4 linked regions of the Arabidopsis thaliana genome follow. The protein of the gene in region 3 purifies or fractionates together with the protein of the main gene of each other region. This does not show direct contact. Each region holds a gene or a part of one and is shown on either strand. Other genes may lie near its edges. The genes, in order: AT3G45900, AT4G34400, AT1G20590 and emb1796.

The links.
Region 1: the proteins of AT1G20590 (region 3) and AT3G45900 purify together in Arabidopsis thaliana (affinity purification with mass spectrometry, with the first as the bait; one large-scale study listed by BioGRID). This does not show direct contact.
Region 2: the proteins of AT1G20590 (region 3) and AT4G34400 purify together in Arabidopsis thaliana (affinity purification with mass spectrometry, with the first as the bait; one large-scale study listed by BioGRID). This does not show direct contact.
Region 4: the proteins of AT1G20590 (region 3) and emb1796 purify together in Arabidopsis thaliana (affinity purification with mass spectrometry, with the first as the bait; one large-scale study listed by BioGRID). This does not show direct contact.

The regions. Positions count from the first base shown.
Region 1 is NC_003074.8:16,871,379-16,879,903, forward strand, and holds AT3G45900 (Ribonuclease P protein subunit P38-like protein), read right to left. Parts: upstream 4,706-8,525; 5' UTR 4,607-4,705; coding exon 4,040-4,606; intron 3,960-4,039; coding exon 3,904-3,959; intron 3,820-3,903; coding exon 3,624-3,819; intron 3,539-3,623; coding exon 3,188-3,538; 3' UTR 2,723-3,187; downstream 1-2,722. Other genes in the region: AT3G45880 (2-oxoglutarate (2OG) and Fe(II)-dependent oxygenase superfamily protein), read right to left, coding at 1-166; RUS1 (root UVB sensitive-like protein (Protein of unknown function, DUF647)), read left to right, coding at 319-1,020, 1,094-1,369, 1,471-1,527, 1,637-1,835, 1,915-2,030, 2,166-2,342, 2,423-2,722; AT3G45910 (uncharacterized protein), read right to left, coding at 4,960-5,368, 5,504-5,697.
Region 2 is NC_003075.7:16,441,062-16,449,599, reverse strand, and holds AT4G34400 (AP2/B3-like transcriptional factor family protein), read right to left. Parts: upstream 4,460-8,538; 5' UTR 4,401-4,459; intron 4,393-4,400; exon of another isoform or gene 4,285-4,392; 5' UTR 4,278-4,284; coding exon 4,191-4,277; intron 3,571-4,190; coding exon 3,198-3,570; intron 3,119-3,197; coding exon 2,972-3,118; intron 2,871-2,971; coding exon 2,652-2,870; intron 2,568-2,651; coding exon 2,544-2,567; intron 2,452-2,543; coding exon 2,360-2,451; intron 2,256-2,359; coding exon 2,004-2,255; 3' UTR 1,827-2,003; downstream 1-1,826. Other genes in the region: XLG2 (extra-large GTP-binding protein 2), read right to left, coding at 4,760-5,354, 5,463-5,626, 5,735-5,970, 6,084-6,231, 6,312-6,470, 6,553-6,657, 6,750-6,887, 6,981-8,021.
Region 3 is NC_003070.9:7,128,396-7,135,782, reverse strand, and holds AT1G20590 (cyclin), read left to right. Parts: upstream 1-3,317; coding exon 3,318-3,488; intron 3,489-3,713; coding exon 3,714-3,905; intron 3,906-3,991; coding exon 3,992-4,090; intron 4,091-4,188; coding exon 4,189-4,367; intron 4,368-4,460; coding exon 4,461-4,617; downstream 4,618-7,387. Other genes in the region: CYCB2;3 (Cyclin B2;3), read left to right, coding at 1-32, 119-217, 316-494, 578-710; AT1G20600 (AP2/B3-like transcriptional factor family protein), read right to left, coding at 1,546-1,617, 2,031-2,672; AT1G20580 (Small nuclear ribonucleoprotein family protein), read right to left, coding at 5,412-5,474, 5,642-5,695, 5,792-5,858, 5,952-6,004, 6,646-6,804; DPMS1 (Nucleotide-diphospho-sugar transferases superfamily protein), read left to right, coding at 7,106-7,224.
Region 4 is NC_003074.8:18,250,535-18,258,703, reverse strand, and holds emb1796 (Pentatricopeptide repeat (PPR) superfamily protein), read right to left. Parts: upstream 2,744-8,169; 5' UTR 2,619-2,743; coding exon 729-2,618; 3' UTR 501-728; downstream 1-500. Other genes in the region: DMS3 (defective in meristem silencing 3), read left to right, coding at 71-91; AT3G49230 (uncharacterized protein), read right to left, coding at 3,797-3,854, 4,172-4,299; AT3G49220 (Plant invertase/pectin methylesterase inhibitor superfamily), read right to left, coding at 5,057-5,754, 7,613-7,749, 7,903-8,169.

The sequences.
Region 1 (8,525 bases), on a different chromosome or scaffold from region 3:
ACGCCGGCCAATGAGTAATAGCTTTGGAGATTACACAAGGCTTGCTCTGAGACACGTAGTTTCGGAGAAACTTCACCGGAGACGGTTGAGAATCAAAACGATCGATTTTAGTTCCTAAGCTCAATTCTCTCACTTCTCTCCATAAATTCTCTATCTCTTTAGCCATTGACGAAAAAAAATTGGCGGGACAAAAAATTTGGGGGTTTTAACACATAACCAAGAACCCTAATTTATATTTAAAGAAAAAAAGAAAAAAAACTGTTTTTGTTATAAAAATAGGATTTTTGAAATAAACTTGTTTCGAAGAGGAAGAAGAAGATGAGTTGTTCTTATCTACTTTCTGGTGACGCTTCCGTCGTCGCTTCACGGCGGTGGAGTGATGTTTCTTCCCGGCAGCGTTTATTTCTCCCACGGCAATCACTCCGGCAGCCATCGGGTTCTTCGTTTTCCCGATGCGTCCGATTAGTCGCTAATGTAAATGATCATTTCAGTAAACAATCACTCGCGACGAGAAATTGCTTGGCTTCAGTGTTTAGTGCAGACTTGGGTGGAAGTAACGGTAATAATGATAACGGAAATGGCGGCGGTGGCGGAGGAGACGGCGGCGGCGATAACTCTGATGATTCTTCTTTCGATTTGAGATACCTCTGCTTTCTTTTATTGGGCTTGTCTTGCTTCTTCCATTTCCGATTATCAGCTGCGTCCGCCATAGCTAAAGATCAAAATTCGGATAGTAATGGAGATGCTGTGAAAGAGACGGTTTGGGAAGTGAGAGGAAGTAAAAGGAAGAGACTAGTTCCCGATTTTGTCAAAGATGAGTTCGTCTCTGAAGAATCTGCTTTTGAATTATCATCTTCTCTAACTCCTGAGAATCTCCTAGCTCAATGTAGAAACCTTCTCACTCAATTCCTTCTTCCTGAAGGTTTTCCCAATAGTGTAACTTCTGATTACCTCGATTACTCTCTCTGGAGAGGTGTTCAAGGTATTGCTAGTCAAATCAGCGGCGTTCTTGCCACTCAGGTAGACGACTGAGCTTATCATCTCTCTTAGGCATTTTCACAAACACTTGGTGTTCATTATATTGTGTTGGTAGTCTTTGCTTTATGCAGTTGGGTTAGGTAAAGGAGCAATTCCTACAGCTGCAGCTATCAATTGGGTGCTTAAAGATGGAATTGGGTATCTTAGTAAGATAATGTTGTCGAAATACGGACGACATTTCGATGTTCATCCCAAAGGATGGAGGCTATTTGCTGATCTTCTTGAAAACGCTGCTTTTGGTATGGAGATGCTTACGCCAGTCTTCCCTCAGTTTTTCGTTATGATCGGTGCTGCTGCTGGTGCTGGTCGATCTGCTGCTGCATTGATTCAGGTTCTGTTCTTGTCTCTGAAAGCTCTATTTGCATAGCTCTAAGTGCAGCATTTGTTATAGTTTAGTATTTTCTATTGAACTTATCATTTACTTGTCTGCAGGCTGCTACTAGAAGTTGCTTCAATGCTGGCTTTGCTTCTCAAAGGAACTTTGCTGAGGTCTACAATAATTTTTATATGGCCTTAGTCTTGATCACTTATCAACAGCTATTTGTTTTTCTCAACTATTCTGGGTCTCTAGTGTATGCATCAACAACTTCTTTTGTAGGTAATTGCCAAGGGTGAAGCTCAAGGAATGGTGAGCAAGTCAGTGGGTATTCTGCTAGGAATAGTGGTTGCCAATTGCATAGGAACCTCTACAAGTCTTGCCCTTGCTGCATTTGGAGTTGTGACTACAATCCATATGTATACCAATCTCAAATCTTACCAGTGTATCCAGCTCCGGACTCTAAACCCATACCGTGCAAGTAAATCCCACTCCTGCAGACGTCCAATTCATTCAAATCGTCTTACAAGACGAAAATAACATCTCTGTTTATTTTGCAGGTTTGGTTTTTAGTGAATATCTAATCAGCGGCCAAGCTCCTCTAATCAAGGAGGTCAACGATGAAGAACCGCTCTTCCCAACAGTTCGGTTTTCAAACATGAAATCTCCAGAAAAGGTAAAAGTGTTCATTCACCTTATTATACACTCTGAGATCTCTTATCAACTAGTTTAAAATCTAAAAACTTTCTCGGATGAACAAAACAATACTTGATGACCTGATTGATTGATTCTTAGTATCTGCTCTATTCAGCTGCAAGATTTTGTCTTATCATCAGAAGCAAAAGCAGCAGCCGCAGACATAGAGGAACGGCTTCAACTAGGGTCAAAGCTCAGCGATGTTATCCACAACAAGGAAGAAGCAATAGCACTGTTTGATCTATATCGCAATGAAGGCTACATCCTTACAGAACACAAAGGAAGATTCTGCGTAAGCAATGATAAACCTTCTCATAATTATTATTACCCAGCGGAATCTCTCACCATTCTATCTCCTCTTGTAATTGTCAGGTGATGCTCAAGGAAAGCTCAACTCCACAAGACATGCTCAGGTCATTGTTTCAAGTGAACTACCTCTACTGGCTAGAGAAGAATGCTGGGATCGAACCCGCAAGCACTTACTCAGACTGCAAACCCGGTGGTCGCCTTCACATTTCTTTAGATTATGTGCGACGAGAGTTTGAACACGCCAAAGAAGACAGCGAATCAGTAGGTTGGGTCACTGAAGGACTGATAGCTAGACCTCTACCAACCAGAATCCGTCTAGGTCATGATCGTGAACTATTATTATCTTCTCCAAACAGCTCATAAACTCAGAGCAAAACCATGGCCAATGGATGATGTATTAGATCCCATTTGACTTTTCGGTATAGGTTAGATACATTGTTCTCTGTTCATCTGCTATTGGAATGTAGTGAGCTGTTTAGAGATTTACATGTCTCTCAAGTCAGAAGATCCCTAAATATCATATTCCAGCAAAACAATGTTGCATAGTATATATCATATATGTGAACATTATCTCATTGTGGCTTGAGATTCTAATCTGCTTTTTAAAATTCATTGCGACTAACAAACATACCTGACATTTTTCACATTTGACCCCACAACATTTGGAATGATTAATAATATAACACAACTTGCTTATTTATCAGATCAAACCTAGACTTCTACACTGATCTTTAGCAGGTTAACACAGTTACAGACACACATACATAAGGCAACAGAAACAAAAAAAAAATGGCGAGTTAGTCTTAAGTGATAGAGAGATTTCTGATTCTACTGAACAAAAGGGTATCGAGCAACGTAGAATTCTCTTACACGTGAAGCCCCGTCTCTAGCAAGTATACCTTCAAGATCTCCAATAATTCTAGCCAGCCAAATCTCCAAGTTTCTCTGAACTTCTTTCAAGTTGTTCTTGATCAAATCCAATGACCTCCCTGTGTTCATCTTGGCTTGGCTTAACTGATCTCCTTGATTACTCCTGGTGATTTCCGTCTGCAATGAAACTAGCTTCTGCCCTGTCTCCGATGCCCGTTGCTGAAGTCTGAAACACTCGAGCAGAAACTCGTTTTGTCTTTGCGTCCTGAACTCAGGTCCTAATGTAGCATCGCACGGATCACTACTCTGCTGAAAACATAAATTCCATGAAAGGTGTAAGGAGTAACTCAAGAATGTGTTGTAACTTGTAAGCAAATCACTCATAGAGACTAACCATTCTTCTACATAGATCATCGATCTTCCCTGAAAGAGCTTGATACCTCTTAGCCTGTTTTTTCAACAAAGACGGAACTTTCGATATGTCACTAGGACGACAAACTTTCTCAAGATTCAGTAATTCCTCTTCAAGCAACCTCAGTTTCGCAGATACACCCGTCCCTTCACTATCAATCTTCCATGGTGATTCCCTTCTATGCAATCAAAGACAAGCTATTATACATCACTCATCATCACAATCACAATCACACATTCTCAATTCAAAAACTCTCTATTACCTTGGCACAAAATGCTTCATACGATACACAGATTCCAAAGATTCATATTGTAAATCCTACAAAAACAGAAGCAAAACTTGAAAAACCAAACACACAAATTCTTCACTCTCATAATTAAGAAAATCAAAATCAAAACCTGGAAAGGATTAAAATTGCCATAAGCATTAGGTGATGGTGATGAAGATAGAGTGAGATGATCCACAGCATAACGTTCACTGGACTCATCTCCTTGTCCATCATCATCATCTTCTTCCTCAATCTCTCTTCGAGACATAAACCCAATCATTTCATCTCTCTCACTCACTTCCCTCTCCAATTCACTAATCCTATTCATGAAATCTTCTCTTTCTTCTTCAATTTCATGAATCCGATTCAACAATCGTTTCTCTTCTTCTTGCCAAGCGTTTCTATGACTAGCAAAGATCTCGACCACACGCGCGTTAGCTTTCGAATCTTCCACGCGCCGAGATTTCATCTGACGGACTTGTTCCTCCGCCGTCGCGAGTCGCCGTTTTAGCTCGGTGACTTGAGATGTTAATCTCGGGACAAGAGAGATTGCGTCGTTTGGGAGATGAGCTAACATTACTGAGAAGCTTAAAACTAGAAATGATTTTGCTAGTTTCTTCAATTCATCATGCTCTTTTTCTTCCTCAACGAAGCTTCTCATTCTCAATCTCTCTTCTTCTTCTTCAGGTTTCGCCATTTTTCGTGACCGCAGAAAAAAAGATACTAAGAAAAGACAAAATTTTATTTTTTGTTCTCTTGTTTTCAATCTATCAGCAAAAACGGTAGGACATTTTTTTTTGGCGTATTAGCGAAGTTGGATATAAATCAATATCTGATATTGACAAAATGATTAAGAACTAGCAGTTGACAAAAAAAAAAAAAGATTAAGAACTAGTAGCATATGAAGCTACTCTTTAATTGTCTGACTTTTGATAATAAAAGATCTAATTACTAACTTGGAATATTTATTTCTTTAATTTCTTAATATTCTTATAATGTTTTATCAAAACAAAAATTATAAATCAAACATATGAACAATAAGCAAACAAGTCAGATTCTTACCTCAGTCAGTTTTGACACACCATCAAACCATAGTACACGTTTTGTTGCTAAATCCTTGAGATCTTTGGGAGCCTTTTTGGTGTGAAACAAGATTATCTCAAATGCGAGACTCGTGATATGTGAGACGTCGGTGTGAAGACGAGAATCTGAGGAAATTAGGAGCATTGGGCTTGGATTACGCTCCAATGCCCTTGAATGCATAGCCTTCCCCAATTCAATATCGGGAAAACCTTTGCGGTTTGCATTGGATCTCTTCTTGGTCTTCGTAGGCGGTTGTGAGATATGAACCTCAACACCGAATCTTCGAAGCATATCGATGACTCCTCCATTAAGTGCATTGGATTGGACGAAGAGATCGAAATCCAAGATACCCCAAGACAAGTAAGATCCCAAAAACCTAATAAATTAGAGAAAGTACCAGATTTATAAACTGGAGAAACTTTAGAACTAAAATAGAAATATTGACAAAAATTAAGGATTGATTAATTATCGGGACTAGGAGATCGGCACGCCTAGGAATAGGTTGAGAAACTCTTCGACGAGGAGGACTCGGCGGTGGCTGCAGCATAGAGATCCTACGTGCGCGTTTGGATCAAGAAGTAAACATGTCCCAAGATTCTCCCATGACAAAAAGGTTGTGAGACTGCGGATTTCTTCAGGGATAGAATTGTTTCCAACAACCCAGATCACAAACCCATATTGTTCTCGAGATAGGTTTTGGACCATTTTAAAGAAGTCCGAGGTTAGGAGCAGAATGGCAGCAGGAGGGTCATTCTGAGAGTCTTTGCATCATAGTCAAGTCTGAGAATTCACGATCAAATCTTAGATTAGAGCTCTGTTCACTGAAATAAGTATTTAAACAAACTAAGCAGAGACGTTTTTCAATTCATAATTGTGACAATAATCAGTTATCTGCTAATCGTTAAAACAAAACAAAGGAACCAAGCTCTATGATTTTATTCTTAGAAAGACTTTTACAAGACTCAACTAGATGACCTATTCAAGTGGATCTTATAACAAAAGAGACTCTTAATCAAACGTGCATTGACTACTACAACTTAGGATGACTTATTCAGACCAAGCATAAGCTAAACGACTTAGTTATATTCTTCATAATATGCTTTCTTAGTGATCAACTGAAATACAACTATGATAATTATAACGTGGTCTTACCTGGATATTTCTTTGGGTATTCTTGTGATTCAGTTATGTTCACGTCTGATCGATGAAGACGTTTAATAAGGGGTTTGTTTTCTGTGAAGAACTTTTTCCGGGCATAAGCATACGGACCGGATGTAGAACCCACATTGAGCCATAGTTTGTTTCACATTGTCAAGAACCGTTTTCAACCTCAATTCCTTATGGATGTGAACATTTTCTACATCCCACAATTCCTTAAGAAAAAGAGTCAAATTTGATATACTGATCCGAAAACAATTAACAAAATTTTTTTTTGTCATAACATTGTGATAGACTCATGATTAAAGTTTTATGTACTTTTTCTTGTTTTATGTACTTCAATAACATTGTGATAGACTCATGATTAAAGTTTGGATTGACATCAACTAAAAAAGATCTGAAGAGTATTCGTACAAAAAAATAAAAAGATAGCAAAAATTGAATGTCATTGAAGTCAACACTTTTGGATTTTTTGTCATTGCATATATCAATATTAGAGAAATGATGTGTCTTGGATGATTTGAAAATTGTTCAACTTAATTATAAATAAACTATTTATGGTTTTATATATTCTCCAGATATAATACTCTAACAACATTATTATAGGCTCATGATTAAATATATAGAATTGATATAAACTGGATAAAATTTTAAGAGTATTCATATGAAAATAATAAAAAGAAAGCAAAAATTAAAGTATCATTAAAGTCAATACTTTTAAATCTTCTATCATTGCATATAATAATATAATATAAAAAAATGATAATGTATTACATTATTTGGTAGGTCTAATTATATTTTTCAATTACTATTATAATATATCACAATTTTATTCTAAAATATATAATATATAAATTTTGTAATAAATAAAATTTAACTCATATTGTAGTACGGATGATGATATAGCTATAAGTTTAACCCATATTGTAGTACGGATAATAACCCATACTATACTACTAGATCTAAAAACAAAATTATCATTATGAGTTGAACAATGTACGTATAATTCATCTTGCTATAAATTTTCTCAACCACGAAAGAAACTTCGTGAACATATTTATCAAACATATTCTTACGAACGCTCTGAATAAATTAAATACTATTGGTAGGTTGCTATAGCTCCAAAAGAAAAAGAAAAGAATGATAAATAAATAAAAGTAACATAGATACTAGTATGTTGCTTAAATAAAAAGAATCGTAAGATCTCTCTAATTTCAACCTCTCTATCCTTGTGTCTATGGATTTTCATAAATATTTAATACAAACCAATATTAAATATGTTTATGAAGCTCCAAATCAATGCCATGGAGGATGCCGACAGAAGGGTGGATGAAGTCTAATTATGACGCTTCACATAATTTCGGATATGGACAGCGCAAGATATGATTGTTTTTGGATGGATTATACCGACTCAAATGGAGTTGATGCAGAAGAGGTTAAATATAGTGCATTAATCTTTGGGATTTTAGTATGTGCTACCTATTTGAAACTATAGTACTACACTTTGAAAGGAAACATAGAAAACCCTAACCTTCACCATTACATTAAAACACACAGGAGCTAGTGATTATCGAGAGTAACAAATGTGTTGATCTATTGGCTAGGATCAAAGCGAGATCAATATGTAGAAGAAATATTATTATCCAACAATGTCCAAGTTTTCTTTTCTTTTTTAATCTCGTTAGTAAACAATGATGACAATGAGGATACAAACTGATGTCAAAATAGATTTATGGAAGCAGGACCGTGTCTACTAATGTTGTAGGCACTATACATGAGTGCCAAAATGGCCAGTTTGTTAATAGCTACATAAGGGTTATGTTTTTTGTGTAACCTTAAATTTTATTGTAAAATGAATATTTACAATCTTAGCAACAAAAAAAAAAAAGAAGATTACTATAGAGGAAAGACCTACCAAAATGATCTTATATATATATATATATATATATATATATTTACATTCGAGGCAACCATAAACAAAGTAAAGGTCTTCTAGAATAAGCCAAAGCTTAATTAATATTCTTCTATCTTTAGAAATCATCATATGTTTTGTTCAAAAAAAAAAAAAAAAAAAAGAACTCATCATATGTATAACAAGTTTCAAATCGGTCTAGTTAGCCTGACTAATTTAATTGTAATTCCACAGTAAAATTATAGTTTTACACATAATAACTACTAAACACGATTGATTATACTTATTAAAAAATATAGTAAAATCTCTTATCCTACTATATTATTTGGGAAGTACATTTAAAATGTAACCTTATTTTTTGTAAGTAATTACATAGGTATGCCATTAGAAATAAAATTTAAAGAGTAAATTAATTCAATTTTAAACATAGGTATGCCATTAGAAATAAAATTTAAAGAGTAAA
Region 2 (8,538 bases), on a different chromosome or scaffold from region 3:
AAAATATCTCAACAACTTTTAGTCTATAACCGTCCATTTCAGATAAAGATCGGGTAATAATAGGTGTCGATCGAATACAAGCAATTAGCATAACGAAATATTACTATCCAAAATGTATTGTAGTAATTAAAGAGATAACAACAATGGGATTGAGCTGGTTAAGGTCTACACCATTATCTCTACTTAAACAGATTTTGGACCATTTTAATGTTTGTTTCTACTTCTTGTATTTTTCTTAATTTTGGTAACAATAACCCACGTTGTTAATTACTCTAATTTTTTTTTTTTTAGTCTTCTAATTTTTGATTCTTTTATAGTTGGCTTAAGAAACTAATTATATGAGGAAAGTAATTAAAGATAATCCGTAAATAAATTTAGTAGCTATAAAATCAAAGTGGTTTAAAGAAGATAGTTGAAACCAGTTTGATTAACAAGCTATTTAGAGTCTAACGTTTCAACTAGTCAGCTTTCCAACAAACAAACAAAAAAAACTCTAATCAGAAATGAGTTATTCAAAGTGGTGTAAATATAAATTCAGGCTGGTAGGTTGGATTTCAAAGCGTTAGGTGACTTAACTTTCGTTAAATTGTCCTCATGTTTACTTCATCTATACAAACTCATTGAGTTAAAAAAACAAATGTTCGCCATGTGAAAATAAATAATAAATTAAGATATATATTTTTTTTTTGAACAAAAAATTAAGATATTTTATGTGCAAAATTTTAGTCTGTAAAAGCGTGCTCTGTAAAGATAGTGACACTGACATGCAATTTGCGAAAATTGATTATCTTCAGGAGAAAATGATTATTTTCGTGCAAAAAGTGGAGCATATCCAAAGAAAGAATTATGCTAAAGAAGAAATCAAAGTTATTCAAGAGAATAGGTTTTTAAAAAATAACGTCAAGAAAGGAGTAAGGACCCACAAAAATGGAAGTATGGCCAAAAATTCACGAAATAAATATCATTCCCTTATCGACATGGTAATGTAACTAGAAAATAACAAATGATCCAAATCAGAGTTTTCAAAAATAATAAAACTTTAGGGTTGGTTTAGTTGTATGTTTACTATGATAATGATTGTTACTATTTTTGGACTCGAAACAGAGTAGCTTGCTCTGTTTTGTAAAGATGAAAGCAAACATTCAATTAAAAAGAAGAGGTTTTCGAAAACGTGACGATAGGACCCACAAAACTGGAATTGAAAAAAAAACTTGTAGGCCAAAAAATTCACAAAAGAAATATCCAACGTCGACATGGTAAACTATAAAATAAATAATGATCCAAGTCAAAGTTTTCAAAATAATCAAACTTTATGTTGGTTAGTATATTTTACTCTGATAATGGAAGTTACTATTTTTGGACTAAAAACAGAGTAGCTACTCTGTTTTATATCACAAAATTCACAATTATTATGTCACAAAGCTTTCAAGGTCATTTCTCACTTCCTCTCACTAATTTGTTCTTTGTTTCTCCTCACTTCTGGTGAAGCAGCTTCCATTTAAGAGAAATCAACAAGCGATATCACGAGGATGAAGAAGGAAGGTACATATTTTATTTAGTTTTCCTCAAAGGTTATATATTTAGTGAATGAGTCCTCTGTTTCTTCTACTTTGATCTTTGTTACAGGAGATTCCGTGGAAACCAGTATACCTAGATTCTTCAGAATTTTCAAGAGAAAATCTTGCCAAAAACAGATTGTAGAAAGAAAAAGCTAAGACAAATATACAGTTTTCGACCTTTCTTTGATTTTTACTCTTTCAAGGATTTTTTTTTTTTTTTTTTTTTCAAGGATTTTTACTCTTTCAAGGGTTTAAGAGTTAAACTTTAGCTCAAAGATTAGATATTGTATTCAGAAATAGATTCATGAGAGAACAAGAGAGAAGGTCATACAATCTGAAGTAGACAATAATGAAACACATAAGTTTGCTTGATCACACAACAAGATGGAAATCAGAGAGATAATTAAGTAGCCAAATCTCTTCCTCTACTCATACTGCTAGCGTCTACAGATCCTTACCGCGGATGACATGGAGTTTGATTGCGTAAACGAAAGTTCCCTTGCGCAAGAGCTCACACAAAATGCGGTCTTCTTTCTTCAACTTGTTCCTCTTGCATATGCGCATCCATCTTTTGATACAAACACGCTGATCCTTCCATTTGGCTGTTTTAGCACTTAGTTTCCCGAACCTGTCGATGTAGTTAACATAGTCTCCAAACCTCAAGCAATAGTCTTTCACCAGTTGTGCATGAACCAACTGTAAAAAAGATACGTACACAAAGCAGACAAGAACGTTAATGAAAACAATCTTTAAGTTAAAAAGAGTAGTAGTATATGAGGACAAGAAGTTGCAGTTCTTACCAGCTCGTATAACCTATTCTTCACGTTTGTCTCGAAATGGATATTCTTAGGATCATCGAGGTATCTCTCAGGATTCTTGATCATGGGATCGACTGTAAGAATCTCAAGAGACAAAAGCATTAGCATCTCAAAAATCAATTACATAATGAAGTGATGGAACTAATTAAGACAACAATGTGATTACCTTTCTTCCTCTTCTTTGCCGCCTCTGGTTCCATAGACAAAGCAATGTTGCATTAAGATAAGCATGGAAGAAATGAAGTTAAAAGTGATGAAAGTAAATGTATTTTACCTTTCCTCTTCAGATTAGCAACCTTATTTGCAACCTTTGGTTTGACAAAAGAGGCAGTGGCTGTGTCTTCTTTATCAGGAGCATAAGAACTGTCCTCCTCACTGATGGAATTCTCTTCAATATCCAATTGACCAAACGTTTCAATGTAATCACTGTCACTGTCCTCCTCTTCGTCTTCCTCGTCATCAGAGGACTCCACAACTTGTTCTTTCTTCTTTCCTGAAAACATCTCAACAAAGAAGACATGATTGTCAATATATAAAACAATCACATAAAGAAACAATTCAAGTTATGCAATGAGCTAACGATGAGTTTAAAACCTTTCTTCTGGCTTTTTGGTATTGTTGGCTTGGCCACCTTGAATTCAGAATCAGTGTCTGTCTCTGTTTCTTCACTGCTTTCAGAATAAACACTATCCTCCTCCTCATCGTCATCAGAATCCTCCACAACTTCCACTTTTGACTTTCCTGCAAACAAAAATCTCAAAAGTCAAAACAAGCAAAATCACATAAAAGCAAGTGATGGGAAAAAAAGCTAACAATGAACCTTTGTCTCTGCCTTCCGGGACTGTATTCTTCATCTCAGATTTAGCACCAGTGTCTGTGTCTTCACTGCTCAGAGATATAACACTGTCTTCTTCTTCCTCTTCCAATTCAGTGACTTCGCTAATCTCTTTACATGCGTCGTAGCCGCGAAAGATACTGACCTCGAATATGTGAGCTCCATTATAGGCAAAGGTCAAAAAGTCTCCATCGTTAAGAGTATTATCCCGAACAAATTTGGGCCATCCTTGTGAAAAAAGCACTTCATCATCCTTTATCTCCGTCGCTACCTTCCAGGAGCATCCACCAGGTCCTCGGAGAATCACAGTCTTGGGGAAACGATGTGGAATGTGATCGTAGTAGGAAACTGGGATCACCTGCTCATTTCACAGAAAAATTGTTTAACTTATAAGCCAAACACTCAATAGATAAGTAAAGACACAAAAAAAACAAGATAACTTTAAGGTAAGTCGGAGAGAGTCATTAAAGAGGCTTTCCACACACAACAAGATTTGGTTTCAACCAAAAGCGTAGGGACAGTTAAAAGAGTCAACTTTCCAGAACCAGACAAAATCAAAGCATCCAGTCTCAAAATTTTATATCTTTCAGCATTTAGAAGCAGAACAAATGTTTCTATTCATCAACAGAAAAAGAAAACAAAATCTGAGCAAAACTACTTTATACTTTGATGAAATTTAGTTCCAGTAACCAAACATATCCAGTGTTAAGTCCATAAATTAAGCTGATTCATACAGAAAGTTTAAATCTTTAGTCAGAAAAAGGAAACCAAAGGGTAGGAATAAGAGCAAAACCCTAGAAACAGAAAAAGCAAAATCTATAGAGGAAGCTAAATGCAGATAAACACAGTGTTTGTTTCATAAAAACCATCAGACATAGTTCAAAGAAACCACTAGGCTAAGAGAATCTACCCAGTTCAAGAATCGTTTGCTCATGAACAGATAAACCTGAAAGAAGAAACCTCGAGAGAAAATCTTACCATGAACTCTGAGCTGAAATGGGAGACGAAAACAGTGAAGAAACGTGGAGGGAGCTGGAAATCATTGCTAGCCATTGAAGAGGCCATCTTGGATCTGTGTGTGAAGAGAGTGAGTGAGAGAGAACGAGTGAAAGAGAAAGAGAAAGAGAAAGAGAGAGAGAAGAGTAAAGAGAAAAAGTAAAGCTAAAATGTTGTATGAAGAGAGAGTACCTTACCTTGACGCTTGAGTCAAATCAACGTTTAAGTTTTTGCAGAGAAAGGAGGTACAATCCTCAGACCCTCGTATTCTGCGTGGCCATTTCAAATTATTTTCTTTTAAACGGTTTGATCTCCCAAACTGAACCGATAATTTATTGCTACTCCGGTCCAGTTCAACCTCAATAACCGTATAAGTAAATGTCTGTTAAACCGGGAAAATTCACTTTATTATTTCTCTATTTTTTTTCCCCTGAAAAATCAATCACATGAATGTATCTTCACACTACTACATATACAACAAACATACACACAGAGAGAGAAACAAACTTATGTAATTTCCACAAAGAAAGAAAGAATTTTAGGAAAAAATATCAAGAGGACGAGCTGGCCTCTATGCTAGTAGTAGACATCTCTTGGAACATGGAAGTTTCTTCAACATGCCACTTGAGAATCTCTCTCGCATACCTCAGTGCATTGTCCACAGTATCACTCTCCAAGCTCACTTGACAAACAAACAATTTTGGCTTAAAGCTCCTTCCACGCATATTTACGGGTTCCAAGATTGAGTCATAGAGTCTCTTGAACTTATATCCAATGTAATGGAAAGCACGCTGAGCCATTGGAGGGTTGTGTCTGCTCGTCTGGTTCTGGCTGATCAATGGGTTGAAGTCTTCAAACCACTCACAGGTTCTTAGAGGAACCTCTTCGATCTTTTCTTCTAGGAGATCAAATTTGGTTAGAACCAAAAGAAACCTTTTGTTAGCTAGGCTCGGGTGAGTCACCATGTTCTCGAAAAGCTGTTTGGTTGCAAGCATCTTGTTCACAATATTCCCCTCACCGTCTTCTATGTTTTCTGCATAGTCTGTTAGTGAGACACAAAATATCACCAAGTCAGCGTCTTCAAACATTTCCAGCAATTTCCAGTTTTCACCAAGGCTTCTCGGATTTAGCCGGATGAGTTGGTACCTAAAGAGAGAGAGAGAGAGAGAGAGAGAGAGAGAGAGAGAGAGAGGGTAAGTTCAACGGTTTTTCATATAGCCGGAATGCAACACAAGGAAAAAGAACAGAACTAACTTCATGTCTGTATCATGTTGATAATCGCTCTCAAGAGACTCTTCTTGAGAAGTTGATGGGAATGAGAAGTCCACACAAGAAAGTCCTTCCATAGAGGAGAGTCCTTCCGCTTGCAATATGTCCATATCAGAAGGATCGTATTCTGATCTCGAGATCTCAAGAATCTGAGAAGAAACAAATTTGGGTCAGTCATCTTTTTCCCCTTAAACAAAAGTGTTAAGGTCCTGAAAGAGCGTTTATATATGCAAGCAGGCAACTTGATGTAAACTTACTCTTTCAAGAAAATAAACGGCGTTCCTGGGAAGTGTATCGCGAAGTCTTTTGTAGGTGGCTTGAATAGCTGGTACTCTCCAGAGATCTGCAACGGTTTGAGCATTCTCACGGCTTGATGGTGGAAATATCTTCAGGTTTCCGTCTTCCTTTTCTTTCAAAACCCAATCTGAAAAATGTTTTAGTCTCGGGTTGATCGAGTTACCTGGTTTTGCACTGGTTTCATCTCCCACATTGCCTAAATCCCAAGAACTCGATCAGTCTTCCTCAATAATCAATTGTTAACTGATGTTTGTATTAGAATATGAATGCATTCTTATTCTAATAGTTTGTACAGTCAATAATAATTACCTGAAGACTGGTCATTGCTCATCTCTTTTTCAAATCTTTCATGTGCCTCAAGAACCATTGCCAGATAGGTATAGAGATTTGTTTGGATTATGAATTTGATTCTTTCACGGTCTTCTAAAGAGAATGAGACGTTGTAGAGAGACCTTGCCTGAAACAGAAGAAGTCAATTCCCGATTCTTTACTAGATGTGAAACATTCAAGTGGGAGGCATTAAGATGAATAGCTCACTTGTTTGTAAATTGTAGTGGCGCCACCTTTTTCGCTACCAATCAAAAGAAGCTTGTTAAGCATCTTCTGCTCATATAAGGGCACATCATATGGTTCTACTGCAGACGAAGCCGGAGGAACTGGCAGAGAGAACACAGCGCAAGCAATTTTTGCTCTCTTCTGTAAAAATAATATCCTTCGTTGTCTTTAGTTTTATATTTAATGTTGTGAACGAGAAAAGCTGGTGATCAGGAAACCATACCTTACTCCAGATGTTCCCGATGGGATGCTTTTGACCTTCTTCTCGGTAAGAACCATCTGAATCGACCCAAAAATGAGGTTTTCCTTCACATTGCACCCCCGCCCACTACATCAAAGCAAAGAAGCGCTCAGTTCAGAACAATGACACATACACTAAGCATATTTGTTATCCAAAACAAAGGTGAAAAGCAAAAGAACCTTGAGCATCGTGAGCTCTGGCTTGGTTATTTCCCGGCCATTAATATAAATTTCAGTGTCTCCATTGCTTACTTTCTCACTGATGTATCCTCCTATGCTGTTGTTAGGACTTATAATCTGACTAGGTTTCTCTCCTATCTGATTAAATAAACACATAGAGGCTCTGATTTAGCTGAGCACTCAAAATACAATCCCGATAATAGATACGCAGACATATATAAGAAACTGTACCTTTCCCCAGTAGCCAGCAACCTTATCATACCAATAGTGTCCGGGTTTTAGCTTCTTGGGTGGATTTGGACATGTCTGCAACGTGTAAAGCTCATCTTCACTTAAAGGCTTGTCATTGACAATGATAAGTCGTGAAGGCAATTGATTCGCCTTGCAGGTGATCTCGGCATTCATGACTTGTCGAAGTTCAGAATCCGTGAGATGGCGCTTGAGCATTCTTGAACACTTTCCGAGACTTGCTCTCTTGGACTCATCAATCCTATAACCAATGCAAGCTTGACACTTTCTTCCTTCGGGCATCGCACCCATGGCTCTGCGCACACAGTTGAAACAGTATTTGGCATCGCAGACAATACAGACTTCCTTCTCAGTAAACCGGTTCCCCAACTGGCACCGGTAACACGATCCTCTTTTACCTTTCCTTTCAGCTCTATGCGTTGCAGCTATACTTTCTCCATCAGAAACATAGGAGCTCTCATCACATTCACTACTCTGAAAAGGTTCAACGAATCTCACTGCTCTAGGTCCCACATCCGAAACTCTGTCATCATCTAAGTGATCCTCCTCTCTCGCTGATGCAGACAATGGTGATGATGGTGATAACCGAAAATCAGCAGGACTTTTCACTTCTTCTGGTACATCCAACCTCTTTGATGATGATGATGATGATGAGCCAGAAACAACATCACGCCCTATCAAAACCACACTAGAACCAGCTGCAGAGTCAACGAAACCGTTCTTCTTCTCTATTCCAGAATCAGGTGGTCTCTTGGTATCCTTAGTCATAACGAGAGGTGCCACTGGGTAAGAGATACCACTCCGCAAGGAAGAAAAGGAAACGGGAAGAGCCGTAGGAATCTGATCAACTTCAACGGGAAGAGCTCGTGGCACATTAGCAATAAGAGGACCTTTATACTCACTGGCGAATGAATATTCGATTCGATAGCCACTACTTGTTTCATCATCATCGTCACTTTCTCGATTATCCCTTTTAGGATTCGGTGATGGGAAAGGTAATAACTTTCTTATAACTGCAGCCATCTTCTTACCCAATCAAGCACACATACAAACCCAAAAAAGCCCTAATTCCTAAAATTCCCTAATTTAGAAACTTAACAACTTATCCGAGAAAACGAGAATTCATGAAGTGATAATATACAGATCCTAAGCCATTAGTGGCTTAAATAATCAAATCACAAAGCGCGTGAAATAAGAACGCAACTACAGAAATATAGAAAAAATTGATCACAGAAAGCTCCTTTAGCTTAAAGAAAGAGACGAAATTTAGTTTTTTTTTCCAGGAAAGTGGCGATGGAAGGAAGAAAAATCAGCAAATAAATTTTCCGGGAAAAGGGAATTTGCAGAAGAAGTAAACAAAAAGAAGAAAGACAGAAAGATGGGTTGGATCGTATACACTAGTAAAAGACGAGGACTTGACAAAAAAAGGGGAAGACTTTCTCTTTGTTTTTTATTTTCTCTGCAATCAAAAGGAAAAATGAGTTATTTTCCGGGAAAATTCTTGCCGTCAACGCGGGTTAGGGGAGTTGAAAACGATGCG
Region 3 (7,387 bases):
AAGCTTACTCTAGAAGAGAAGTGCTAGATATGGTGAATACACAACTTTGTCTTGATCATTAACTACCACTGGTTGATGCTTCATAGTTGAATTTACCTGTTTTTGGTTTCTATTGCAGGAGAAGCTAATGGCCAACACCTTGCAATTCAATTTCTCTCTACCAACTCCATATGTTTTCATGAAACGATTTCTCAAAGCTGCCCAATCTGACAAGAAGGTATATATCTCCCTAACTAAAAAAGCTTGAATCATTATATCCGGAAACCATCAGGCCTAATATCTAAATCGGTGTGGTATATGCAATTGTGGTTTCAGCTTGAGATTTTATCATTCTTTATGATCGAGCTTTGCCTTGTGGAGTATGAGATGCTAGAGTATCTTCCATCTAAGCTGGCGGCCTCAGCAATCTACACTGCTCAGTGTACACTTAAGGGATTTGAAGAATGGAGCAAAACCTGTGAGTTTCACACAGGCTACAACGAAAAACAGCTACTGTAAGAACATACATTGATTTTTTTGAAAACCCCATGACATGAGATTTTGGTATCCTGACAGTGGGTTTTTGTGTTTTTTCTAGGGCATGTGCGAGAAAGATGGTTGCTTTCCATCACAAGGCAGGAACAGGGAAGCTCACAGGAGTTCACAGAAAGTACAACACATCTAAGTTCTGTCATGCTGCAAGAACTGAACCAGCTGGGTTTCTGATTTAATATTAATAAGAATCTAATATGACTTAACTCGAGTTTTTCTTTAGAACAAAAAGAGTGTGAGAGAAAGAGAGATAGTAGAGCAAGTTGCCCAAAATGGGAGAAGAATGGATCTTTAGATATCATGGCAAGTAGCCCAAAAAGAGTGTATTCTTCTCTTTCTAAGGTCTTTAGATCTTTCTTCACTTGAGAGAGAATAAAAAGAATCTTCTGATATCATGCTTTCCTATATTCAACTTGTGAATCGATTCTTGTATAGACTCAGGAAAATCTATGATCCAGTTTGGTTAATATTACTCGGGAGCTGAACCTCTAGACTGAATCAAATATTCTTCTACATGTCGTTTTGGTACTCTGGAACTGAATCTCTAGACCCTATCAAATATTCTACAAGTACATGGCAATTTTTTGGATTGTAATTTGGGAAAATTGCAGTTGACAAGGTTTTTACATGATGAAAATACAAGTACAATATTCTTTTATAGCTTATATATTAATGTTATAAATGACCATATAGACTACGTTATTTAGACAACTCAAAGTCTACAGTATTGCAGTCTTTATTGAAGGAGGATATAATCATTACTTCTAGTATTTCATAATCTTGTTCCTTCAATTTATCTTTGTTTTCTGATCTTAGTCTTATTAAGACCTTTATGAAAACAATGTACTTTGTTTTACTCATCTACTGTCAGAAATGGAGAATGCGCAAAGAAGAAAATAGATCACAACGAAAACTTGTCAATGATTCAAACATCTTGGTAACCCAAAATACAGAACTAGTAGTGCATCTGGACATATCTCTCTTGTTCTCCTTTGTTTGGTTTTACAGTGTTCTCTAAGAAGTGTTGCAGCACCTGACTTTGCTGCCTCGAATGAAGACATGCTCAAGCTGTGATACCTTACCATCCTGTAACATAGCAATGAAAAACCGAAAACAAAAGTTAAGTGACAATTATTAATAAACAAACCCATTAAGTTGACAGATTATTTATGAATACTTATGAACAATAACACATTAAAAGAGTTAAAGACTTTCTGAACTAAAAAACTACAGGTAGTTCTTTCCCAATAATTACAGGTTCATTCAAAACCCATACAGCACATTATTCGCAAAGAAGACGAAGCTTTAAGACCTGCATACTTGAGACTATTCACATTTGACCACTGTATTAATTCTTGAAGATCTCACCCTAATTTGGATTCAAGAAAGCAGTAGTCTTCAAGATCATCCCACTCGATTAGTTAATTTCTTAAAGAAAATGTAACGTAGTGAATAGCAAAGCAAAGCTTTCGAGTCTTTATGTGCCTAAACATCCAAACAGTGACAAAATCAGAAGTCTTCAAAAGACCATAATCTGCCACAAACTGCATCCACCCTGAAGTTAAGACAGGTGTTTTATCCCCATTCCACATCTTGAACTTCATCTGTTGAACTTCCCCGTCTGGTCCATACACCGAAACATCAACCCCCTTTACCGGATCCTCTGATTCTTCTAGAAAAGGAAGCATCTTCTCCTTCACTTGCTCCTTCGATAACATGAGCCTGCTTTGATCTGTATCGACGTCGCTCGACATCAACTGCTTCTTTATCGGTCGGCTGAATCGCCTCGTCACCTCATCATCGCCGAATATATCCTGTGGATCGAGTTCAGCGTTGTACCAATCCTCAATTAACCTCAGAGTTTCTTCTGAAAAGTCATGGATATTTATTTTCATGATGTTCTGATTCTTAACCCTCTTAGGTTGATTTTTTTCAGTTTTTTCTTCCCTCTTCCTAGACTGCTTTTGATTAGCTTGGCTTACTAGTAATAATGGAAGGGACGCAACCTCATCATCTATATCGTCTTCATCATCTATATCCTCTTCACGATCCATAACATCTTGCATCAATTGTGCTAATATGTATGTAACTTCTTCATCTTCTTGTGTTGAACTTGTCGGTTTACCTGTTGAATTCGCCATGATCGATCTCTCACGTTCTCTCTATCTTACCTTGCTGAAGAACCTATCTATAGGGTTTGTTTTTTTCCTTCTTTCTAGCAAATCAATTTCCTTTTATACTTTGATTTTCCATTTAAATCATATATATGAAAGTTGGCCACCTCATATTAGTTTAGTAATTTTAGTTAGATATTTTTTTATTATTACGTTTTGTGAATATGATTTTATCATATGACCTTCTTTCTGTATATTTTTGTGCGTTCTGATAACTTGGTAATATTGATAAACAATTTTTTTCACGTAATAGTCATCTGACACATTAGACATACCAAAAAAAACATAAGACATTATATTGTTATATGCAAAAGAAAATAATTAAAGTGTTGACTTAAATTACTAGCATATCATGATGTGATTGTTTACTAGATGACAAAAAAATATATGGAATAAAAAATTGTTTGTTATAATTAAGTTAGACAAGTTTCAAAACACATAAGTAATATAACTACATTCATTTTATCAATCTATCATATATTGTTGTTGTATGTGATTATGATAGTTAAATATTAGAAAAATAGATATATAAATTTTCATATTATAGTAGAATTGATATTTCGAGTTATAGATGAAACTAATCATAAAAATTAATAATTATATTAAATAGATATGAATTATAGTAATAATTATATTGAACATCAAAATAAAAAAAAAACCATAATCATATTTTTCCGACAATTCAAAAAACAAAAACCGATGCTACGCATGGGTGTTCATCTAGTTGTAATTAATAAAAACACATTTAACTTTTTTAATCGACAAAATAATTATTTTAACTCTGTAAAAATACTGCTCTGTTTTTCAAAAACGTCAATGAGAGATATAGACTAGAGACCTCTCTAATAGCTGATGATGAATTTTTTATAATAAAAAGCTCTGTTTCTTGATACCATGTCGTATAAATTTCTATATCATACATGTATATGCTCTACTTGAACGACTTCTTATGTAACTTGAGTTCTTGTTATCTCAATACAAGTTATGTTTGTTCATTCTTGTCTTTAGGGAAAAACTAAGAAGATTTTTGTCATCGACAGATTCCTTGCGGTTCATCAAATCGTGAGGAAAAAGCTTCAGCTTGTTGGTGTTACTGCTTTGTTGCTCGCATGTAAATATGAAGAAGTTTCAGTTCCAGTGGTAGATGATCTCATCTTGATCTCTGACAAAGCTTACTCTAGAAGAGAAGTGCTAGATATGGTGAATACACAACTTTGTCTTGATCATTAACTACCACTGGTTGATGCTTCATAGTTGAATTTACCTGTTTTTGGTTTCTATTGCAGGAGAAGCTAATGGCCAACACCTTGCAATTCAATTTCTCTCTACCAACTCCATATGTTTTCATGAAACGATTTCTCAAAGCTGCCCAATCTGACAAGAAGGTATATATCTCCCTAACTAAAAAAGCTTGAATCATTATGTCCGGAAACCATCAGGCCTAATATCTAAATCGGTGTGGTATATGCAATTGTGGTGTCAGCTTGAGATTTTATCATTCTTTATGATCGAGCTTTGCCTTGTGGAGTATGAGATGCTAGAGTATCTTCCATCTAAGCTGGCGGCCTCAGCAATCTACACTGCTCAGTGTACACTTAAGGGATTTGAAGAATGGAGCAAAACCTGTGAGTTTCACACAGGCTACAACGAAGAACAGCTACTGTAAGAACATACATTGATTGTTTCGAATTTTTTTGAAAACCCGATGACATGAGATTTTGGAATCCTGACAATGGGTTTTGTGTTTTTTCCTAGGGCATGTGCGAGAAAGATGGTTGCTTTTCATCACAAGGCAGGAACAGGGAAGCTCACAGGAAGTACAACACATCTAAGTTCTTTCATGCTGCAAGAAGTGAACCAGCTGGGTTTCTGCTTTAAGGGAGGAAAAAACTATAATAAGAATCTAATATGACATAACTCGAGTTTTTCTTTTGAACAAAAAGAGTGTGAGAGAAAGAGAGATAGAGCAAGTTGCCCAAATGGGATATGTACAATGGTTGGTTCGGTTCTTCTCTTTTTAAGGTCTTTAAGATCTTTCTTCACTTGAGAGAGAATAAAAAGAATCTTTTGATATCATGCTTTCCTATATTCAACTTGTGAATTGATCCTACTAATTTCATGTATAATCGTTGTAAAATACTCAGGAAACTCTATGACCCATTTTGGTTAATATTACTCAGGAACCGAACCTCTACACTCCATCAAATATTCTTCTACAAGTCGTTTTGGTGTTTGCTGGTACTCTGGAACTAAACTTTTATAGACTAAATATTGTACAAGTCATTTTGGAAATTTTTTGGATAATTTGGGAAAATAGCAGTAGACAAGGTTTTACATGTTGAAAATACAAGTACAATATTATTTTCTAGCTTATATTATTAATGTTATAAATGACCAACTTTGTTTTCTGATCTTAGTCTTATTAAGACCTTTATGAAAACAATGTACTTTGTTTTACTCATCTACTGTCAGAAATGGAGAATGCGCAAAGAAGAAAATAGATCACAACGAAAACTTGTCAATGATTCAAACATCTTGGTAACCCAAAATACAGAACTAGTAGTGCATCTGGATATCTCTCTCTCTTGTTTGGTTTTACAGTGTTCTCTAAAGCATTAATGACAGAACCAAGAAAGGCGGCTTTCACCTGGATATCACAGAAAGACTATCCCAGAATCAAAGCTTACATGTTGAGCGTAAAATCAATCATCTCCTCACAGGTGGTACCGCTCCCCTTCCTCCAGTTCCACGCCCGGGCCCGGCAGCCGGCTTTAAGATAATATCACAAAGATTCAAGAATCTAACCATTAGTAGTGACAAAGAAGAAACAAACCATTAAGGGATAACAAGGATTTGAACATCTTAACAAGTTCCATAAAACTTCCTAACATTGCATTCATGAGCACTAAATCATAAGAGAGAGAGGGTGAACTTACTTTCCCTCGCATTGCACCTCTACCTCTGCCAACACCCAGTGATGAGCTCTTTCCCTACATTGATTAAGCAAGTAAGGTAAGATGTTTGTTGGAGATATGTATAGAGATCCTAATATCATTCTGCATCCAGGGTTCAAAAAGCATATATACCTTGATTCTAGCATCTAACCGCTTGAACATTGGAGCATGTTTGAGAATGTCTGGTATGACCATAAACCTGTCAAGATATATCCGCAGGTCAATTACTAAACAGCTAGGGTTAACAAGAATGATCCCATGAATTACATAAACAAGGAAACAAGTACAGCACCTGACTTTACTGCCTCGAATGAAGACATGCTCAAGCTGTGATACCTTACCATCCTGTAACACAGCATTGGAAAACCCAAAACAAAAGTTCAGTGACAATTAACAAACAAACCCATTAAGTTGACAGATTATTTATGTATACTATGAAGAATAACACTTAAAGAGTTAAGACTTTCTGAATTGAGAACTACATGTAGTTCTTTTCCCAATAATTACAGGTTGACTCAAAACCCATACGGCACAATAATCCGCAAATAAGAGGACGCTTTAAGACCTGCATACTTCAGATAATTCACATTTGACCACTGTATTCCTAAAGAGCAACTTAGGCTTTGGATAAAACGTTACAAAGCACAAACGTAGAACCTTTCTTCTCAGTTATTGATGTGTCCTATAGATCAATAATAAGTTTAACCAATCAGAGGAGACTATACCCTACAGTCAAAATTTATCTAATGTCACTGGCAGGATCACGCATTCTAGGGTTTTATACAGCATGAATTTCAAGGATTCTTAATCTCACTTAGAACTTAAAATAAGAAGCAATCTAAAATTTCCCAGCAAATTTGCCCAGCTCACCAAATCTAGGGTTTTAACAGCACTAACATCAAACAATGAAATTGAAACGAAACCTATGGTTCAAAAAACAGTCTCATATAAAATGAATCGAGATCTTCAGAGTATCAGTTGATTACCTTGGCGGTATAAGTAATATCCTCGAGCTGACAGTTCCAGTTATCCTCACACTCAATCATACTTCCTCTGTAAAGCTCGCCGCTCTTTAGCTCCACCGTCACGATATGACCTGAGGCCTCGTGAAGAAGCTTCACCGGTATTCCCAAACTTCGGCTCATCTTTCTCTCTACAAAACCCTAATTGAAAACCTTCTCCTTTAACTCTGCAACCTAGAAAGAAAAAAATGGCGGAAGGAAAGAAGAGCGACTCAGATGCGATTGACGAGTTTACCTCTTTTAAAGCTTTCCTGATTTATTTTTGGGCTTTATATAGGCCCATATTTATATTAGGCCCAATTTGAGAAACTTGCTTTTTAGTCCCTATATTTGACATTATTTTAATCCTTATTTTTGTACAGACGACGGCTGATTTCACGGGTTAAGACGAAGGAACCACCGTTACCAAAACTCGCCGGAAGAGATGGCGGACGAGATGGAGACCAAAGGAGAGAAGAAGTACAAGTATAGCATAATCATTCCTACCTACAACGAGCGCCTCAACATCGCTATCATAGTCTACCTGATTTTCAAGCATCTCCGGTAAATGAATATTTATTTCTTTTGGTCTTTTCACGTTCATTCTTTCATTTCAGAATCGGAATTACGTTTTTTGTTATTCTTTTACTGAATACTCGAACCTGATCGCCAATTTCAAGTTACGGATCTCGGAAATTTTCCGATCATGTTTCTGTAGATTGCAGAT
Region 4 (8,169 bases), on a different chromosome or scaffold from region 3:
CTTCAAATACCTCTATCTGAAAGTTTTATATGGCTAACATTGGTCTGTTTATGTGTTGGTGGTGCCCCAGCCAATGAACACACCCAGATGAAAAAAAAGCAAGCAAAGAAGCATAGAGCTCGGAGTTACAGTGACCCTTGCTTCTATAGGAAGCCTATTTTGACTATAAGTAGGAAGCCTATTTTGACTATAAGAACTTGTTTCCAGCTAAGTTTTTGATAGATTGCTTCCATGGAATGCATCTTATCAGATATACTAGATTTTAATAAATTTCCTTGAAGGGTAGTAGATCGGTTAGTTTTGGTTATGCTGTTTCCAATCTCTGTCTGTTTTGCTTTTGACTTGACCAGTTTGCTGTGTACATAATCAATCTTCTAGGCTTTCTAATCAGATGCTCAGTTTCTATTGCTTCATGTAGTTGGAATACAGTCTTTCCTCACTTCAAATCTTTGTCCCAAATGGATAAGATTTACAATTTCTTGTTACGTATATAATGCACCAAATTGAGTAATAAAGAAATGATTACATAGACCATCCACTAAAACAAATGTTCTACATAGCATGTTAATTTGAAATCAAAAGCAAACATGGAAAAAAGATTTTGCAAACACCTGCATTATAGCAAAAGATTAATCATAGCTTATTGTCCCAAACAAATCCCTAATTACATAAAAGTTGAATGATAAGAAGATAACTAGAGTCTAATGAATTCAAGGAAAAAAATAAGATCAGCAGGACGGTGGATCCTGACCATTGGATCCACCTGCTTCTACTCCTTTAGCCATCTCCACCACATCGGCTTCTTCAACACCACCAGCTTCGTTTTCCCAAAGCAGTTTTGCGGTTTCTTTCTTTTCTTCCACTGCTTTTGGAGGAATTAATGCAGCTATGTTAATACTTTGAGCCTTCTTCTTCTCTTCTGCATCTGCTAACTCTTTCGCCTTTGCCTCTGCTTTCAATCTCTCTTTCTCTTCCATTAGTTTCTCCAGATCTCCCTCTCTTCCTCCTTTCCTCAGTTCTTCTTTCACAAACTCTTGCAGTTCCTCACTCACTCTTACCGTGTCATCATCCAGCATCTCATCCACAATCTTGAGCATCTCGTCGAGTCTACCAGCTTCACTTAACGCCCTCATGATGAATTTGTAAGCCTCATCGTCCATCTTGAGTTTGCTCACCATCATATCGAAGAAAGATTTTGCATCGTCGAGTTTCCCAGCTTTGATCAACTGATCTTGCAAACGGTTATACACAGCCAAATTTGGTCTTAGATTAGACTCAACCATTGTTTTGTAATACGCAGCTCCTTCATCTATCTTACCTTCCTTGAAACAAGTATCCATTAACAAACCATATGTGTACTCATCAGGCTTCACATTTTTCTCTTCCATTTCACCATAAAGCTTCTCAGCCTCAGCCAACAACTCGTTGTCACACAGCTGATTCATCAGATTGTTGAACGATAAAGTATCAGGACTACACTTAAAATCACCCATTTGCCTAAAAACCTCCATAGCTTCCTCAAACTTTCCTCCAGCACAGTACCCATTAACCATCACATTAAAAGTTCCCAAATTTACAGCCAAATGCCTCGGTGGATTATGTTCCTTTTTCACCGCATCAAACAACTTCAAAGCCTCATCAAACTTCCCATTCTCACTCAAAGCCTCCAGCACATAATTATAAGCCATAGCACTCATCCTAACCTTTGAATTCTCTCCAACAGCTTCCTCATAACACTCCATAGCCTCTTTCTCCATCTCCTTCATGAAATACCCCTTCATCAATTGCCCATAAACCACACCATCATCAACAAACCCACCAAGCTTCTCCTTTAACTCCTGATAAAGCTTTAACACACCATCAGCATCAGAATTCTTCACACACCCCATCATTAGATAACTATAAACAACAGGATCCACCACAAAACCTTTAACAGCCATATCCTCTTTAATCTCCATTGCTTTCTCAAGATTGTCATTACTAACTAAACCCTTAACTAAAATCCTAAAAGTAGCAATAGAAGGATTCAATGGAGCATTATCTATAAACAACTTGTAATGCTCCAACGCAATTTCAGGTTTCCTTACATCAAGATAAGCCTGGAATATCAAATTGTATGTGATGATATTAGGTGCAATACCAGCTTGATTAATGAATCCATGCAATTGCAGAAGCGCTCCATACTTAGCTTGTCGAAGCTGCGCCGCTAAAACAGTATTCACAGTGAAAATCGTGGGACGGCAATTCGAATACACAGAGTGACGAGTGTACAGAGCAGCTTCTTCTAAATCATTCTCTCGGATCAATTTCAGGATATGATTATGAAGATCGAGACGTTTCCCAACGAGAGCAGAGACAGATTCAGGTAATTTCGGGATATTAGGGTTTTGAATTGGTCGAGGGATTTGAGATTGTTGTTGCTGAGATCTGTTGAATGAATTAACCGGTGGCTCCATACGAAGACGACGCTTACGACGGCGACGTTCAGCGGCGGCTTCTTCCTGAGTCGCGAATGACATGTATCGGACGGCGAGAAATGGCTGCGGCAGAACACGGTGGCGGTAGGATCTTGATAGTGTTTGAAGGTGGTTTAAAAAGGCGGCTTTAGAAATCGACATGGTTGAAATGTTTGAGATTTTCTGAGTGGAAAAATGATTCCTTTCAGAGGAAATGAGAGAGATAAGGGTTCTTGTTAGGGTTTTAGGAGTTTGGAGATGATGATGATGAGGTTTAGGGATTGTTTGGGAACGTGGATAAATATGCTTGGGCTTGGCTATTTACGTTTGGGCTTTATTGGGCCATAAGCTCGATTTTTGGAGGACCCATTCTTGATTTCATCATATAATTATAATTAAATATTTTTAAAAACTTTCTTTTTCTTTGGTTAGGAATCTGCATTCTGCACAATGATGTAACAAAAAAAGAGCGGAATACGTTGTGCGTAATATACGCGGTGCCGGCTTATCTATAGAGGCCGGCACTTCGACCGGCCCATATCTCTCTTAACGAGAAATTTGTTGTACCACATCCGTAGTAATTTTTTTTCTATCTTATAACTGTTATTTTATAAATAATTTATCCATTTATTATTGTATATTTAGTCCAACGAATAAGAGAACAGGTCTAAATTTTAAATAAAATACTTGTATTTCATGTATTTTTTTGTTTGGGTATTCAGTTTTTACAAAATTTAGTACAAGAAGAATACACAGTATAGTATAGCAAAAGTTATTGAATCTAAATCTAAGACAAAATGGTCCAACAGATATTTGAAAAACGTGGAAAACAAAAAAAACAAAAAGATATTTGAAAAGCAAGCTATGGATTATTGACTCCAAAATCAAGTTAGTTCCGCGCTACTCATTTATTATGTGGCTTGCGTTCCTGGGCAGATTGCCTACTAAGGACAGGTTGCGGGGCTGGGGTATTAACGTCACCTCAGCTTGTGTTCTCTGTTCTGCTGGCATCGAGACTCATCGATACTTATTCTTCGAATGCCCCTTCTCTTCCTCTGTTTGGGAAGCTTTAACTTCTAAAGTTTGGCGCTTGCCACCCTTGGATCTTCTCTCAGTCTCATCTTAGATTTTACAGCGCAAGCTCCAACCTCAAACTCTCTCTTCTGTCATCATCAAGCTCATCGCTCAGGTTGCGTGCTATCTCATTTGGCGCGAACGAAATGCAAGGATCTTCACCAACATCTCCACTTCGGCTTCTGTGACTAAGGCTGCCGTGGACCGCACCGTTAGAGACCGCCTTCTATCCTTCCCTGGTCCTCCTTCTTCTTCTATTTCTCTTCTTAGTTTCTACTTTGGTTGTATCTCCTTCCCTTTCTAATTGTTGCTTTTTTAAATAAGCTGTTTCAGCATTGTAGAGAAAAAATTAGAAAATTGGTATAAAATTTAACTTTTTACCAAAAAAAAGTTAGCCAATATATATCCGTAGGTAGAACAAAAGGTCTCCGTGAAAATGAATAGTTTTTTTGAACATATTCACTTTTCTTTCCCTCCTTGTTATATATTCTGGTAAGTAATTTGTTAATCTATCTGGCTTGGTATCTGAGATTAATTTGATCGATTCTATACAGTCTTTGGAATTTTGGAAATATACTTCTACTATATAGTAATAACAATTAAATTATTCCTAACTTTAAAGGTTGTAGAAATAACATTACCTAAAAATAGAATGGTAGAGAGTCGAAGTATATTGCAGCACGAGTCCATCTCGCAAGTGATGAACCAAGTGACCGTCTATCCGCAAAAACCCAAAAACAGCCATGTCCGCCTGGGTGTCACTTGACATGCGAGTATGCGACTTAGCATTTGCATTTGTGTATTATATATTTGGACCTTTGGTGTAATGAAAATATAATCTGAATTTGCATCAATTTTAAGTTTTAATGAATGATAAATTATAGTAATGTATAACGTAAGAAAGCATTTTAATTGGAAAGTGACGAAAATGATGTTTGGTATTCTTTGTTAAGTCGAACATGACTGGAACATATGAGTTCCCAAAATCGTGGCCCCCACAGTGAGTGTCGGTCGTGGGCCGTGACCTATGGACTTCAATCACATGAGCTCCTCTCTCCGGCTCTCACCACTCATCACCGACACATCCAATTCATATTTGTTTTTTGAATGTTTGAATTATTTTGTATCCAACATTAAAATGTGTGAATACAAAAAAAAATCCAATAATTTTCGAAACATTTAGTCGGTTAAACACAATAATGTTGCTTGAGTCTGGACTTTTAGCCCTTCTTTTGACACACAAAAGAAGCATATAAGTTACGTTTAATCAAACTAGTTTAACTTTTTATGCATGGCATATATATCACACATCAGTCAATAATTACTTCTTCACTGTCAAGAAAACAAGGGAAAATTATCCTCGAGTGTTCATCTATTATTAAATAATACCTCTGGAGAGTGGAGACATTACAATTAAAAGTTAAAATATACTCATATATATTGGAATACTGATATGTCCATTAATATAAGGACCGTAAGAATGAAACAATTCATCGGAAAAATAAGCATTTCAATTTTTTCTCTACCTATATGCTTAATCCGGCCAAGAACGAAACTCCGGTCGATGGCAACCACGAGGAACCGTATATAAATTCTGCCACAGTGAACCGGTTTGCCTCGGCCGTCGAATTGATGACCCGATAACCCGGCCAGCTCACACGTTGCCCGAGACCCGACCCAGGTCCACTGTTCAAATACTCTCCATAATACAAAGTATCTAAAGCAAATGTTGTGTTCCACTCGAGCCAACCTCTCGTGTGTACATGACCACCGATATACGACATCATATACACTGTCCTAGAGAATAGCTTCCAAGGTCGGCCTAGATACGTCTGTGTACTACCGTTTGTCGCTTGGAGATCGGATGCTGCAAGAACCCTAGACGCATGTATTGATATTCCGGTGTTTTGGTTCGGATCTTTTCTGTTTTGAGCCGTGATTGTATTTTTCTGAAAATCCATTGGCTTCCGTGCGTAGATGCTACAGTTTTGTAGTACGACGGCTGCGTTACCAAAGATAAAATCGACTGTACCGTAGATATCGCATTCACGAAAGAATTGGCGGTTTGAATGGACGTAGAGTGTGTCTTGGTAACCGATTATATTGCATCGGTAGATCACTGCGTGGTCAGCTCCGATGCGGAGAGCCACGGCTTGGTGCTTCGCTGGACCGGCCCAGTTTTCGAATGTGATGTCCCTTGCAATAAATCCAGCTCCGGTCGCAGCTGGAAAAATTAAAGCAAGAAATTAACACACAATTATGTTTTGTATTTACTAATTCAACTAACTTTATATATAATTAAACTTAAAAAAAAAACTAGTATGTGAGAAATGTCGTTACCTATAGAAATGTTGTATACAAGTGGTCTATAACGCGTTCAACTAAATAATGAGCTATGACCCACCTCCAACTTATATATGTAAATAAATGCTACTATTCTCTGTCTCCTATCATGCATGTTTATATATATACAAATATGTGTGGTCAGTAATTGCGCGGCCTACTTCGAACCTTACGATACGTTCATATTCTTTTATATGTGTATGCATTTTCCATGTGTGCGTGTCTGTATGTATATTTGTTTATACATATGTGGAGCATGCATTTACTATGTTACATAAGTGGATGTGAGGAATGAATATTAGATGAAGGTAAAGAAGTATATAAACTTTGTTTGATCAAAAGAATGTTTTATGTTTTCGATTTGATTTGAGTTTTGTGCATTTAATGAACATTAAAAATCACAACAACATGCATGTGAGTTTGGTTGGATAAGCGGCAGCATCACATAGGATGTCCAATTCAGTGTAAGTGTGTTACCTAACCGAATTCGAACGTACATAGTCCTATGGAAAAGTCAATATTCCAATAAATAAAGTTGGAGTACTATATAGTTATCGAAAAAGCATAAAGATCAGTTCAAATTTAAGTTTCTACATAACTGAGTTGAAGATCAAAACTGAAAAAAGGATATACAAAAAGTTGGTTATATATAATAAGGTTTCTGCTGCAAAATTTTATGATACTTTTATATGAGAATTGGAATTTTTAGATCGTGTTTTTCTCTTAAACTAAACAAACACGTAAACTTACGTAAGAACTACAACTTAGGTGATTAGGTCTTAATTCAGCATGAGCAAGAAAAAGTTGGTCAAAATTAATTTAAAGTTAGTCTGCCATGAGAAGGTTCCTGAGTTGAAGTAGTAGAAAACGGGTGAATGACGTTTGTTCTAAAACATGTTTCTTTGAAAAAAATCATTAAACAAAAATTCTGACCCCCAATTTTTTTTTTATTAAAACGACTACTGAGTGCCTTGGCAAAAAAGTTTGAGAAAATACCAAAAAACACAAAAGAAAGAAAAAAATTCACAGTTTAGAAATTTAGTGGTCTATAATATTGACTTTGTTTACTGGTTCGAGTACATACTACTACTATTTACAAGGTTTACTTAAATATAGCTTTCTTTAGTGGTCCATAATCCATATGAAGAATAAAAACAAGTGGTGTTAAATCTTTTATCAAAAAAAAACACAACACACACACAAGTGGTGAAAGACAACTAATATTCGTAAAAATTTCTGACTATAGGAGAATCTATTGGACACTTTTTTAAAACCCTATCACTCCGAAATCTATAGACAGCCTAGCTCATGGCCCCCTTCACGTATCTGATTCCAATAATTCTCCTCAAAGTATATATATTTTTCCTTCTTAACTTATTTATATCAATACCTTTTTCAGTAACAAATATGTACAACAAATAGTTTATATTAAATCTATAGAAAAACGACATTTATTATATCATAAATGTTGACCCTCATAGCTCCTTTTTAAGATTTTAATTAACACAAAAAGATCTTTTAACTTTTCTATTATATCACTAAAAAACGCTTCTGATTTTCGACCACCGAAAAGATTAGTGTATCAATTTATAATTCTTGTACATGTTTCATTGCATTAATACGTGTTTTGCTTTTAACTATTTATCATGATTGTTGTATTATTGCAAAAGAGTTCAAAAAGTGAAAAAAGTAGTATAGTAAAAACTAAAAAAGGAAGAGTGAGGTTAGGAAAAACTCACCAAATGACGCCGTGTGGAAAGTAGTGATGTTGTCAAATATACTTTTGCCTCCCGAAATAACAGTTTTACCCTTGCCATCTCCAACGAACATCAAATTAATTTTTTTCCTACCGACCTTGAGGTTGTTCTCTTCATATCTTTCCAAAAAAAAAAAAAAAAAAGAGATCACAGACACAGTCAGAGATACGCAATTATTAAACCTCCGTACAGGTTTTTAGTTTTCACTTTCGTCTCACGGACATAACAGTTAAAAACATCGATTAATACGAAGGGTAAAACAGTCATTTTACCTTCCGGCCTTGACGTAGATAATTATCCGGCGAGTACTGTTCTGAGGAGCTTTCTTGATAGCTTCCGATATAGTTTTGCACGTGCCGTTACCGTCTTTCGATACGATAATATCAGCTTGTATCTGAGATACCGGCATTTCCAGTATCTCGCGTTCTTTTGGTCTCATCCATCTCGGGAATTTCTCTTCTCGTTCCTCCACTCCCAGCAGCCTCCTGTTCTGTATTGGAACTCCGGCGAAATCGTCACCGTCGTGACTCGCCGAGAAT